Saccharomyces cerevisiae S288C: one gene and its partner. The protein of the gene in region 2 purifies or fractionates together with the protein of the main gene of each other region. This does not show direct contact. Each region holds a gene or a part of one and is shown on either strand. Other genes may lie near its edges. The genes, in order: SBE22 and CSI2.

Region 1 (10,468 bases), on a different chromosome or scaffold from region 2:
GTCAGAGACGATCCAGGCACAGTTTTTATATACCCCGTCTCTTCTTCATCTACTTGTCCTTTAACTATATCTGTGGCAGGGCTGTGACCTATTGCGTAAAATAGTCCATTTACTTCTAAATCGTTCTCCACATTACTTTTAGTATTCTTAATTCTCAACATATTCAATAACTTACCATCACCCTTAGCTTCTAATGCAACTGTGTTGAACAAAACAATGATGTTTGGATTTTTCTCAATTCGTCTCTGCATTATTACAGATGCACGAAAATGATCCTTTCTTACTAATATATATACTTTCGACGCATACTTCGTAAGAAATTCCGCTTCCTCACACGCAGAGTCACCACCACCAATAACGGCCAATGGCTTGTTTCTAAAGATAGGGACTGCACCATCACATACAGCACAGGCAGATATTCCCTGCTGCCAGTAGGTTTCCTCCCCTGGTAAATGCATTCTCTTAGCGGAAGCACCCGTGGCCAAGATTATAGCATCAGTGGTCACAGGCTCTGCATCCTCATTAAATTCGGTCCATAATCTGAATGGTTTTGAAGATAAATCGACTTTAGAGACAGTCTCGGTAATTATGTTAGTGCCAAACTTGGCAGATTGTTTCCTCATCCTCTCCATCAGTTCACTGCCACTCAACGATTCAGGAAACCCTGGGAAATTTTCGATATCGGTGGTTGTTGTCAATTGGCCACCAGCAGCAATTCCGTTGGCCATCATTCCCTCATATAATGTGGGCTTCATCTCTGCTCTTGCCAAGTATATAGCAGCGGTGTGGGCAGCGGGGCCAGAACCTATGATTGTAACCTTGTGATGAATCATCCTTGACAGCACGGACTTGCTGATGCCAACAAAATTCGTCCTGAATGGCGAAACTATATGTTTTATCATTGTTTATTTATATTAGAAACTGTGGAGTCCGTTTCGTTCTTCCTTTAATGTTGGACGATCCCCTAAAAGTTTTCATTGCGGTCAGCTCAAGGCATTCCCCATCGAGTGATTAATTAACAACGCGCCCGAGTTAAATGGGATAGTAGTAGTCGATGAGAAGAATAGTCGGTTGGATAGGGATGGTGAGCTATGCAACTCGTTTTGAAGGCTCTAGAAACTGTATGAGTATATCTTTGGTCATTTCTACGAGGCTGCTGTTAAGGATGATGTGATTGAGGAAGTACTCGAGCCCTCTCTGTCTTTTTGCCAGCCAGTCCTTGTTCAGATTCACTTCTTGATATTTCCAAGAACTGTACCACTGCACTGAAGGGGGAAGGTGTGGAATCTGCAAACAGTTAAGTTTCTCAGGTTTCGCTGTCTTGATTCTTGTGAGCAAATTCTCTCGTAATCTGACGAAATCGGAGTATCGTTTATAGGTTTGGATTTTATAGCTTTCCCTCTTGGCCGCAAAAGCCTTCAAGTTGGGTTCAAGAAATACGGTAATTCTCCAGACAGCAAACTTTGTTCCATGGTCGCCATTGACTATGGTGCAATCGCTGACATGAGCCTTTTGAAAACTAAAGTTTGCATTGATAGAACTGCTTCGTCTAGGTCTTGTTCTGGTAATTGTGGCACCGCAATCATTACTATGGCTAGTGCTATCATTGCTGTTTGACGCACTGATGGGTCCCTCATTTTCTTGTTGTGAGTCAATGTCGAGTTCAGGCTCCGTGGAGTCTTCGTCAAGTAGTTGGATGGGTTCGGGAGGTAGAAAGGATATCTTGTCGCTCATATCTTGCTGTTGTTTTAGTTGAAATGGAAGCTGCTATTAATATCCCGATAGATATCCGGTTACTCAAATGATTTTGGGACCGCTTTGCTCTCTTGGTGTCTATTTTAGTATCACTCACTCATCGCCCCCACTCGTTTCCCTTTTAATTTCAATTACCGTTGGGTTCTGTTAAAAAATAGCCAAATTGTCAACCATACAAGAGATGAATTAAAAGCGTGGATGACACCACAGGCAGAAAAAGTATATCCAACATTTTATTTAAAGCTGTTCTGTGTCTAAACAGAAGAGCATGTAAAAATTTATACACATATACAGCATCGGAATGAGGGAAATTTGTTCATATCGTCGTTGAGTATGGATTTTACTGGCTGGATCAGGCAAAAGTGGGGAATTTACCATCCAACCAGGTCCATGGATCATTAAATCTGATGTTGGCATTTAGTGCAGAAATATCCTTCAATTCTTGCTCCGTTAAAGTGAACTTTTTTTCGATTTCTAGGTTGCCAAGTAACCTTTCCTTCTTGGAAGATTTTGGAATGACGGCAATGCCTCTCTGAGTTGCCCATCTAAGCAATACTTGGGAAGTGGTACTGCCTGGATGGTTTTGTGAGACCTTCTTGATTACATCATTCTCGAACAGAGTTGGCGTGGTTTTTGCCAACTGTAAGTCCATCTCAATGAATGATTGAGGACCGAAGGAGGAGTAAGCAACTACTTGGATATCGTGTAATTTACAAAACTCAACTAGGTGTTCTTGAGTCAAATAAGGATGGTGTTCAATTTGCAAAGCCACGGGCTTGATTCTACAACCACGTAATAAATCTTGAATCAAGCTTCCCTGAAAGTTGGAAACACCAATAGACTTAATCAAGCCTTCATCAACACATTCTTCCAGAGCCCGGTACGTATCTATGATTGGTACATGTGCTTCGGTGATGTGACCTTTCTTCTCGTCATCTGCGCCCGTATAGAATCCTGGAGGGTATTTCTCTTCAAATGGAACATATTTGAAGGCGATTGGGAAGTGAATATAATACAGGTCTAAATAATCAAGTCCCATATCGCTTAAGGTCTTCTTTAAAGCTAATTTTACATGATCAGGATGGTGAAAATTGTTCCATAACTTTGAAACAACAAATATATCCTTTCTAGAAACAAGACCTTCGGAGATGGCTTTCCTGATACCTTCACCAACTTCCTTTTCGTTGCCGTAGTCGCAAGCACCATCGAATAAACGGTAGCCTAATTTGATAGCTTCATAAATTTGATTCGCACAGACTTTTTTGTCAATTTTCCAGCACCCTAAGCCGACTAGGGGCATTTTCAGACCGTTATTAAGAGTAACCAGTGAAGACATCTTTAAAAAATTTCCAATTTTCCTTTACGATTTATATTACAGTATTTTCCCAATCGTCTTGAAGGATTGCACTGACAACTATTTGCTTCTATATCCCTTATATACTTCAGTGTACCAGGAGTAATTTACTTGATAGGCCCCCTAGAAGTAGTAACTTCGAGGTTTTTTTTTTTTCCATAAAATTCTTCCGCATGTGGCTTTTCCCTTTTATGACGTATACGTTTACTACCAGCAACAATTGGGAAACAAGTATAGAATCTAGAGTTCCGATAATGAAATATTATAAAAGTTTTATTAAACAGTGAATGTGTAAAGAAAACAAACAACTATATGCTGAGGAGACTTCTAAATATATGCTGAGGAGTTTTCCTTGGGCTCCCTTTTAATCCAGTTTTTTTTTTCTTGTGCATGAGTGAAATTACAGTTACAAAAAATATCAAAACTTCTTGTAGTAATGCGCCCATTTCTTGATGAACACGGCATTTACAGTATCTGCGTCTACGAATTCATCATTGATGAATACTGGAATGCAAAATCTCTGGTCATTCACGTTACAAAGACTTCTTAAATCAGTGAATCCAAAGTGGTAATTTAACAATACATTTAATGCAAATGAAATCAAGATCTTGTAGTTTATTACCACTTTCTTCGAGCGGTAATATTCCCAATCCTTGTTAACAAACTCATCTTCGTTGATTGGGCTATTTTTGTAGCTCTGGGAATTGTTGACTACTATAATATCCATGATCCACATAAAAAGCTTATGATCAATACGTTCTAGGATGTTCCACCAGGTGGTAGAGTTTATACACTCCGTATTAAATTCATCCTTGAACTCCTCGTTTTGCGATAAATAACCGGCTACGACACCCTTACGTTCTAAAACCTTTGCATCGAACTTTTCTTTACAAAGATCATTAAAACACGTCATTTGTACTAAATTAACAATATTCCAAATCTCGTTTAGCCCCAGGTTCTGAAATGATTCACTCACCAAGAAATGATGGAAAAGGAGTTCATCACCGGTGACTATACCCTGTGATGAGATAGATTTTATCTTCAATAAAAGCATCAAATCAGGACATATATCATGTAAACCGCTCACTTTTCGCCTCAAACTTGTTTCGATTAGCTGCGATATTTCAATTTCCTTGTTTTTAGGAAAGTCTCCCATTTTTGTTAAAAGCTCCTGTAGCTCATGAAATGGTTGAATATAGTTTTTGGTAATAAACCTAGTCTTGCTCTGTAAAATTTCGCTGTAAATTGTTGACCTAGTTTCGTCACTAAATGGAGTGTCCCAAACCATTTTACTTAGGCTTTGTAAGGAGGAGTTTCTAGTTATATCTCTGTCCAATAATAACACATATTTTTGCCTATTTGTTTCATCTCTAATCAACTTTTCTTCTCTGTCTTTATTTTTTCCTAGTTGGTCAAGGGAAGCAACACTCATGCTTTTGTTAATTTGCCTTTCATGAAGCTTTTTTTCCTGGCGATCCTTGGGTGGTAACCAACTCGGTCTTGAATGGCTGACCACATCTAGTTTGTTCTCCGAGACAAGTATCAAATCTTCCATGCCTTGATTTTGAGCTTCTTTTAGTTCAATTGGCAAGAAATCGGAAGACTTTGTTCTTTCGGACAGCTTAGATCTTGAAAGCCTATTGGAAGAATGCAAATAAACAGAGGCTAGACTCTTGGTTGTGTCTTGAATGAACTGAAAATCAGTTACTTTGTTCAAACCTGGAATCGGAGACGTAGGCATCTCATTAAAGTCCAATAATGAGGCGTTTGATGTTGTACTCGCAAAAGAGATGTTCGAGTACCTATGATTTTGTTTTGTATAAGAAATTTCAGAGTTATCATTTACCAAACCTCCGGTATATTCTGATAAGTCATTCTTGCCAGCCAAGTTATTCATATCATCGGGCTTAGCAGACGCTAGAAATGAATTAGTAGATAATGATGCCATAGGAACGTTCCAAATCAACGAATCATCAACGTCTCCCTCTTGTAACTCAAGAATTTGTTCTTGACTATCATAAAATTTCTCTTTTCTTTTGATTGTATTTCTTAAATTCATCTCCGATTGCTCTTTACGAAGTCTGTATTTCTGAGACGGAGTTAATGGCTTGCAATTCAAAGGTTTCTGAGATGGAACGTTAAATTCTAATGACGAAGCCTCTATCCGATCACTTGAATTAGAAATTTTGGAGCTTATGCCAAACGTTTTCAGAATGCTGCTGTTGTTATAACCCGTAGACGAGCATGTTTGCGATTTAGCACGTGATCTTTGCTTGCTGTTCAGTAAAGATGACTGGCTTTTCTTCGAGGAGAACTGTTCTTGGTAAGAATGTCTAGATTTATTCATAGTTTTCTCTGCGGCTGTATCATCAAACGACATGCTTTTTTGCAGTGCCATTTTGGAACCGTCCGTAGTTGCTTCCACAATGGTATTATTGCTTGCGCTTCTCATTCCATTTCCATCAGCGCCTCTACCTTGAGTAGCCTTTTCCATCAATATGCTGGGAAAAGTATTTATTTTAGATTTGTCGGCATCACTGCCTTCTCCCTCATCGCTGGTATCTCCCAAGGAGGAAGATGCAGAAGTGGATGAAAATACCTCGGTAGTCTTGGTACCTATTGAGCTATTTGAAGCGGGACGTTCACGTCTTGTTTGAGCAGGGTTGACTTTTGGCGGTGGTAAAGCCGAGTTAACGAATGAATTTAGCATATTTCCCCCATTGCCGTTGTCGCTACAGTTCATGTTTGATAATAAATTCTCACTTGGTCTTCGAGCAATATCTAAGCCTGAAACTTTATTCATTGTATTGCTTCCAGCCCTTGACCTTCCTAAAGTTGTTTGAGACGGTGGACGTTGCACGTGGGATCCTATGATACTTCTTTGTTTAGGAAGCATCTCGCTGGAACGATCACTAGCCTCACCTTCTTTAAGCGAATGCAGATGAGCGCTTGTGCCTCGCTCCTGAATCGAGGTCATTTCTTGAGTAGCGTGGCAAGTTAGACCGTATTAACTAAAGATAAGGACAAATTTGAGTCGAAAAAGTATAAACACGATCACGTTTCACTCTTGAAAACGGTAAAGGATCAACGAATGTATTATTTTTTTTGGTTCTGCTGTATATGACCTTTTCGATTTCTTCTCCACTATATATGGCAATTCTGGGGTAACAAATACAACAATCAGCGTTACAAAAGGTATTTTGGAATGTTTACAGGATAATTATCTCTCTTACAGTGATGAGAATGCTAAAATTTCAAGTGGTAAACATTGGTTGAAACCTCCTTAGCGCTTTCTCAGGATTTGCGCTTCGCACGGTTTTTTCTTCTAGGCGCGTTTATAAGAAGAAAAAATAACGGAAAAAACAAATGGCGAGGTTTGGTAACTGCGCCATTTGCTTTCTTTGAACTAGAATAGCAATAAAGTCCGTAAAGCGCTAACCTTGCGCAGTCGAGTTCCATGTGGTGCTTAAAGGGACTTGTTAAGTTCTGTAGAAAATATATACTTTCACTTTTCTTACATCTTGCTTATTTTTCTTGAATATGTACATAAACAAAAGAATAAACTAGACGATGCTTTTAATGCTCATTATCCTTGATAGGCGTTGAAATAAGTTGTTCCTTTAAAGCGTGTTCAATGCAGGGCAAACCTTCTTCGAACATTTGTAAAAGATTTTCCAGTTCTTTCAGAACCTGGGGTTTCCTGTCTACCCGCCTCTGTTTTCCTGGCAGAAACGATTCTAAGTCCAAGAACATTTCCATTTGTAAACTCTGTGGAGGAGGACACATGCCAAAGCCTAAAGAATTAACCGAGTTTGCAGCTGTTGCGGCGGAACTCAGAATATGATTGAATTGTGTTCCGGATGGAATAGTCTGTTGTGAAATTGGTGCAGTCGTTGATGCCGCGGCAGAACTTGAAGTTGCGATAGTCGTAGAATTGGCTTTGATAGTAGTGTTTCCTGTATTAGCAGAAAGAGGAACACTGTTATTAGGGCCGCTGTTGTTGTTAGAGCCAACATTGTTGTTACCGATACCGGAAACATTGCCGGAAACAGATGAGCCAAGAATATTCAATGGGTGTTCCGAGGCAGAAGAGTTCTTCCTGTTAGAAATGCTTTGACTTCTCTTGATCTTGCCCCCAAAATCAATGTGTTTCTCACTAATTGGAGTCATTGAGACAGGGATGTTGGACGCACTGCTTGTGTTAAATCCAAATTGATTAATATTTTCGTTCGTGGATATGCCAGCGCTCCCCGGCATGCCATTGTTATTCTGTGAGGTTGCTGTATTTGGATCAAGAAGTTTATTTCTCACAACAGGTGTAGGTAGTGGCATTTGTAGTTTTAAGTTTGGGTTGTTGCGTTTAAAGTCACCATTGACCCTTGAGCCTTCCTTTTCGTTGGAAAAGTAGTTTGATGAGGTTAAATTATTGCTGCTATTACCACTAATAGTGTTAAGTGTAGAAGAACTAGGTATGCTGTTCAGAGGTTGCAAGAGAATGTCCTTGTTATCTTTGCTATTGGCCATTGGTTTCATCGTAGGAGGAGGCGCGAGGTTCGTGTGAGTAGAATTATGACCAATGTTTTGGGTTGGGGAACCGGCAGGCTTTCTATTGGGAGAAGTTCCAACTCCAAATAGTGGCCTTGAGGGTGAAGAAGCCTTATGAGTAGATAACTTTGTTACATTACCTGGATTGGTTATGCCCATTTGTGTGCTATTTGCAGTGTTACTACCGCTGCTTCCTCTTGAGTTCTCACTATCAGTGTTGTTGTTATAGTTATTACTGTTGTTCGGAGTGGAGCTGATTCCGGAATTAGAAGCAACTGCGGACCCCAATTTTTGATTTGTTATGGTGCTTGGGCAATGTTCTGGCCTATTGTTACTGACTGTCAACCGCCTGGGCACGTTTGAAGGTGATTTATATTGTATTGAGCTAGATGACGAAGGAGTGCCAGCCGTCACTGTAGATGACCTGGCCTTTGTGCTTGGTATTAAAACCGGATCTGCGCTCGCAGGCGTTGGTAGAGCACTATTCGGTAGTTCTTCAGGAATTTCTATTTCAATAGACGTTGGAGCAGTAGTTAATCCACTTGTTGGAGGGCCCTTTGACGTCTTGTTAAATTTTGTTTGGAGTAGCGGCAAAGCAGGTGTACTCTGGCTATAATAATTGTTCCCACTGGATAAAGGTGGAAGGTGTGGTCGCATTTTATTATTATTGATATTTCCGTTGACCTCGTTGGATATTGAGGGAATGAAATCATCTCGTGAACTATTACCAGCATTTAGAGATGAAATGGATTTGCTTATTTTAGGAGCTTCTGTATTGACATCATTTTCAGCAGTAATAATTTCATTGTCTTCAAAAAGTTCAAGTAATTGTTTTGGAGCCTTACTTTCCAGCCTCTTAGATGATGTCATTGGACCGGCCGTATGTGTTCCAGAGGTGTTTGTAGTTCCAGCTACCATTTTGGAAGGGTATTTTGAGTTCGTATAGTTATTTGTTACTGGTGCATTCAAAGTAGAATTTTGAGCTATTGTACCAGGATAGCCCTTTCCTATCGTTGTCCCTTGATAAACAAAGGGTCTAGTATTATGACTTGTAGGGTCAAAGTAATAAGAATCTTCGTCAGGGTATGCATAGTTGAACAGGTCATGTTGGGCAGTAGCCCACTCGTTGTTGTCCTCAGCCAAAGCATCGAGGTTGATATTATTTTCAATAATATAATCCGACGAACTCAATGAATCAAAATCCCATTTCATTTCCACATCGCCTTCGTTCACTCTCTTAATTTCATTATCATTTGATGCTATTGACTTTTGTGCTTCATCACCCCCGCCATTTTGTGATGGTTTTGGAGCTTCACTGGGTTTTGATGGCTCATTTTCCGGTATACTGCCCTCTATTTTATATTTGTTTTTATTCTTGTCCCTAAATAGTAGATATCGTGATATTAGTTCTTTCAAAATGGACGTTGGCGTCGCCTTGTGGGCCCTGATAAATTTTGATTTTAAAAGATCGTCTGCTGACAATCTCTCCTTTGGATCCTCATCAAGACAAAGCGCAATAAATTCTTTCAAAGATGTACTGTATGATCTGTCCTCAAGCCTCGGTGGTTTCGATTTGATGATTAGTTGCATTGCCCTTAGGGCCTCCACATCGCAGTATGGCGGATTTCCGGTGGCAATCTCGTACGTTGTAATACCTAAAGACCATATATCTACTTTAGTGTCGTAATAAACGCCTTCCATGATCACTTCTGGAGCCATCCAGTAGGGGGTCCCAGCCATAGTTTGACGTCGTAAAGAAGTTTGGTTTACTTGTGCAGCGACACCAAAATCGCATAGTTTAACATTACCTTCGTTAGTGATCAGAACGTTTGCTGCTTTGATATCTCGATGAATGACGTTATCTTTATGAATGCATTTTAATGCTACAAGCAGTTCTCTCATAATAACCCCAATGTACTTTTCATCGATTTTGCCTGGCCTTAACAACGAACGCAGTGAACCACCAGCGCAGTGTTCCATTATGATCCAAAGGCTTGTGTCTTTCAAATACGACCCATAATACCGCGTGATATTGGAAATCTGTTTCAAGGAGGCCAAAAACTGAATTTCTCGCTGCACATCCTCCACCTCGTCAGAATCAGAATCTAAATTTAAGACTTTGATAGCATACACTCGTCCAGTCTTCACGTTATAGCCCTTATAAACCACACCAAATTTCCCTCGCCCAATAACTTCCGTTCTCTTGAAAAGTGAACTCACATCCATCTCTCCTTCGGCTAAACCCTGCTTACTATTTTGTGGCTTCGTCGTCATTACTGCCTGTTCTCTATACGTGTTTTGCTTGCCAGTCGATGGCGCCCAAATTTATACTTTTTGTTTCTTTATCTGTGTACTGTTAAAAGTAGTACTGTTAAAAGTAGTAAGCTCCTTAGAAAGCGGTTCCGCCTAATAGTTCCTAACTTGTTGTATGTGGCTTCACGTAGGACGAGTTGCCTCTGTTCTTCTTTGACTTTTGCCACGTCGGCAAGCTGCTGCTCTTGTTGATGCCTTTAAAGATTGTCAGATCGGCCTGAGATCGACGTGTGGCATGATAATGTTGCTCGATGGGCTGTAAATAGATAAGAAAGAGTGAAACGAATAGAGTAACGAGGCCACAGATGTGGCGAAACCTGGGAGGATATGTTCTAACGTTATCTAGAGTTCTGATAGAGCATTGTATGCGATAGTACCGCTGACATATGTGCATTCTTTAATTATATCGATGATATCATGCAACACGGGTTAGCTCTGTAGTAATGTAAACCTCTCTTAACTACGGCCAAGAATATCAGCAGCGGAGGTTAAGTTGCAGGT
Region 2 (3,916 bases):
ATAATAAGGCCCTCACAGACATTGATATTATTCAGGAAAGCGATGCTCAAGCCAATTGGGAGATATCCTCTTAAAAGAAATTTTTTTGGTTTGAGCGGTACCAATCACACTATTAGGGAACAGCGATATGTTTTGCGCAAGGCCATAAACGCCCCTCCAAGCACAGTCTACGCTGCAGTGTCAGAAGTTGCCCAATATAAGGAATTTATTCCTTATTGTGTTGATTCGTTTGTAGATAAACGAAATCCTGTGGATAACAAGCCTCTCATTGCGGGGCTTCGAGTTGGTTTCAAACAATACGATGAGGAATTTATATGCAATGTTACCTGTAAAGATACTGATCATACGTATACCGTTGTTGCAGAAACAATATCTCATAATTTGTTTCACCTTTTGATTTCGAAATGGACCATAATGCCTCACCCAAATAGACCAAATGCGGCCATGGTAGAACTTCTATTAAGATTTAAATTCAAATCTCGGATATATAACAGTGTCTCTCTAATATTTGCGAAAACTGTGACTGAATTGGTGATGAACGCATTTGCCAAAAGAGCATACCATTTAGTAAGATTAGCAATGCTAAAACCTTCTTCTAAAGAAGGCTCTCCGTGATATCTTCCGTATAATTTCAGATAACAAAGATCATGCCATCCAGGATAAGCGTATGCATGGTTAAATTTTTAGACTATAGAACAAGATTTTTCTGTATAGTTATGTTTATAGTATTTAAGCTTTCTAACAAGCTCCAGTAGGGGCGGAGGATACAAACAAATATATTTTGCTGCAAAATTTCCTGGTCTTCCGTCGCAATCAACAAGTTGATACGCAGATGCACCATTTTATTCATTGGCAAAGTACGATCAGTTTAGTGCTTGTATCTGTATGCGAAAAAAGAATGGTGTACTAAAAACAGCGCATGGTGATGGCGAGGAATTTACACGTATCCTCTCATTAATTGAAGTATTAGGTTTTCGAGTCGCACTTAGTGTAAATGAGGTGTAGAAAGGTGGGGACGCAATTATTCCTTACCGTCGAGCAGTTGATCCAGATGAACACTGGGAGGACGGTACTTCTTTACTTTACCCTGACTAACATTTGATTTTGGAGTAGAGCGGTCTTCAGAGTCGGGACTTAAATTGTATGATGTATAATTGAATGGATTAGTGCTGTCTGTAAACTTTCCCAGTATTTGGGTAGCACCAGGTTCCCTTGGAGTACTGGACAAGGAATCATATATAGCACTCTCATTGCTTTGAGACCATGTATTAGAGTTGTTGGCATCAGATTGCAGAATTTCGGTGGGTGAAATAAACATAGATGATCTGAAGTTATCGTTGGCATCTGTTTTATTGTTCAAAAGATTCAAAACAGAAGTGGATCCTAGAGTATACAAACTCATACGAGATGAGTTATTTTTCAGAACTTTTTCTGATATGTCACTGTCGTCAGAATGGGAAGATGTTTCACTTTCGTCGTCATTAATGTTTGTTTGGAAGTAGAAAGGATCGTGTTGGTATTGATTTTCTAGATTTCTCAGCTTATTTTCCTTTCTAGCACTTCGCCATGACTTTATATTCAATGCAATCCATGCACCCGTCAGTGATAGTAGAATTGCACCTAAACAGCCAGCAAATGCAATGAACACAGTACCGTTAGGATGATGAGCCTGATATAAGAATTTATTTCCGTCCGTAACCGGGATATAAACGCTGGAAGGTGTAATAGATGAAGTTGATATTACACTGTTGTTGCTCCATAAACTAGAGTTGGTGTATAAGCTTGTACTAGCGCTCGTGGTGATTTTGGGCATTTTAGTGCTTGAAGTGACATTATGACTTGACGAAACATCCTTACTGGTTACTGAGCTTTTGCCTAAGGACGTGGTTGTCTTGGCTGAAGAGCTGCCTTTACTAGAACTATCTGCTGCCTTTGTACTACTTGATAAAGAGGGCAAATTTGCAGCGGAGACAAGTTGAAATTCTTGTAGAGCAAACAAATGAAGTAGTAGTATCACTTTCCAAATGGAGATTTCTGGCAGTCTCATTGTGTCGTTACTAGTTTATGTTGACAATCTTTTCCCTATTAATAGTTAAAGACTTTCCTGTTTCACCGTAAAGCGTCCTTCTGCTGATGTGTTATTTGTAAAATAAAGCAAGCTAAGATGTACTACGTATCTCACATCCTTATATTGGAGGAAGCATGGATGCAAATCTTTTTCTTTTTCAGCAGACACTTTTAATAGAACGGAAGGCCCCATCTAGAACAGGAAATTATGATCTGAATTTGTTTGATTCAGCTTAGCATTTCGTGGCTTCTATTTCAATAGAGCGGTTCTTCCTTACAGACGGCGCTGTGTTGACGACTTTTCGTGTAATTCTTGTCTACGCTAATTACTTTTTTTTCGCGATCCTGCCACACTTACACGCAGAAAACGCGAAAACCGCCAAAATTTCGAAGGGCATACATGCGACAAGGGACGGATTCAAGCCGTGTCACTGAGCATGCATTCTTGCAAAGGTTCCAAGTATTTTTGCTTCCAAAACATCAAGAGATACGGACAATACGTTTCTTATATGCAGGTAACTAAGAAATAATAGGAGGGGTAAAGTAACTGTGGCATGATTACACTGCAGTATACTCTTTAAAAGTTTTAAATTATTTCTATATATGTGTATAAGATATCTTCCTAGTAACCCTAATGCGAACTTGATGCGTGAATGTATTTGCTTCTCCCCTATGCTGCGTTTCTTTGCGTTAAAACCTCCAATTTTCATCTACCGATTCTATGGCCCATTTGAATTTTTCTCTTAGGGTTTTTGTAAAAATCTTTTCAATCGGAACATCATACTTTTTGCAAAATACCACAGAAAGTCTAGGGTCTATATAATTGATTTTGGAAGTGCCCAGTGAAACCTGGGAGTTTTCCTCTTTATCTTTCAACTGAATGGAACTAGTTTGGATACGCTGTTCTAATTTCTCTACTTGTGCTTTTATTTTTTCGACTGAATTCCAACTTGATTTCAGTTCCACTTCACCGGTTTTCAATTCCTTTTCGAATTCTTGTTTCTTTTCGTCGACTTTCTCCAACCATTCCTTCAATTGACTTTCCGGCAATAATTCTTCCTTTTCAAATTTCCTCTTATCGTTCTCCCTAACAAATTTTCGCTGATATTTTTCAATTTCTCTATCAATAATTCTCTTGTGAATGGTGGCTTCATCTTCTTTCGTCAAATCGTCGATTTCTTCGAAATATTTTGGCTCTTTCTTTAAAAGATCCTTATCCAATTGTAAAATGGCCCTCTTGCAACGAATCTTTTGCCATTCCAACTCTTGTATTCTATTATTGGCCTTTTCCACTGTTTGTGCATGCCCCTTCGTGACAGTCCTTTGATGGTTACATAGGATGGCTACAGTTCTATTTGCTGCGTTGTACTTCAATATTTTCTCTGCGACAGATCCTTTATTTGGAATTAGATCCAGTTGATCTTGCATTGTTTTGGAAGCATTATATGTACGGAAAACTTTAGCAGTCAATCCCGGCATGTAGTTTTGTAGATATTTGTTCAGTATAGATGGATCTAGACGATCAAACAGTTGATGTCCTGGCTGTTTGGGCGGCCTTTTAAAAATTGTCAAATTTTTGAAAACTTGTTTGTCAACTTCTACCTCTTGATAAAATCTAATAGAATCCTTACCTAAGAAATCAAAGATAACAGTATTCGGAGGTTTCAAAGTAACATGCTCATATCGCAATGAACAACAACCCACAGTATCGGCTTCATCTTCGGATTTTTCACCACCGGCTCTTAAAGCGAATACATCGATCAAATAAATGGCTACGGCCTTTTGGCGCTCTAGCATAACTTTGCTTTTCAAATTTCTCGTGTAATCCCTTCTGATGGCATCGATATAG

What was found.
Region 1: the proteins of CSI2 (region 2) and SBE22 purify together in Saccharomyces cerevisiae (affinity purification with mass spectrometry, with the first as the bait; one large-scale study listed by BioGRID). This does not show direct contact.

What each region holds. Positions count from the first base shown.
Region 1 is NC_001140.6:316,032-326,499, reverse strand, and holds SBE22 (Sbe22p), read right to left. Parts: upstream 6,087-10,468; coding exon 3,528-6,086; downstream 1-3,527. Other genes in the region: thioredoxin-disulfide reductase TRR2, read right to left, coding at 1-902; YPT35 (Ypt35p), read right to left, coding at 1,090-1,734; GRE3 (trifunctional aldehyde reductase/xylose reductase/glucose 1-dehydrogenase (NADP(+))), read right to left, coding at 2,108-3,091; putative serine/threonine protein kinase KIC1, read right to left, coding at 6,686-9,928.
Region 2 is NC_001147.6:310,321-314,236, forward strand, and holds CSI2 (Csi2p), read right to left. Parts: upstream 2,048-3,916; coding exon 1,022-2,047; downstream 1-1,021. Other genes in the region: ubiquinone-binding protein COQ10, read left to right, coding at 1-615; TOP1 (DNA topoisomerase 1), read right to left, coding at 2,758-3,916. UniProt on the Saccharomyces cerevisiae protein: Appears to be a structural component of the chitin synthase 3 complex.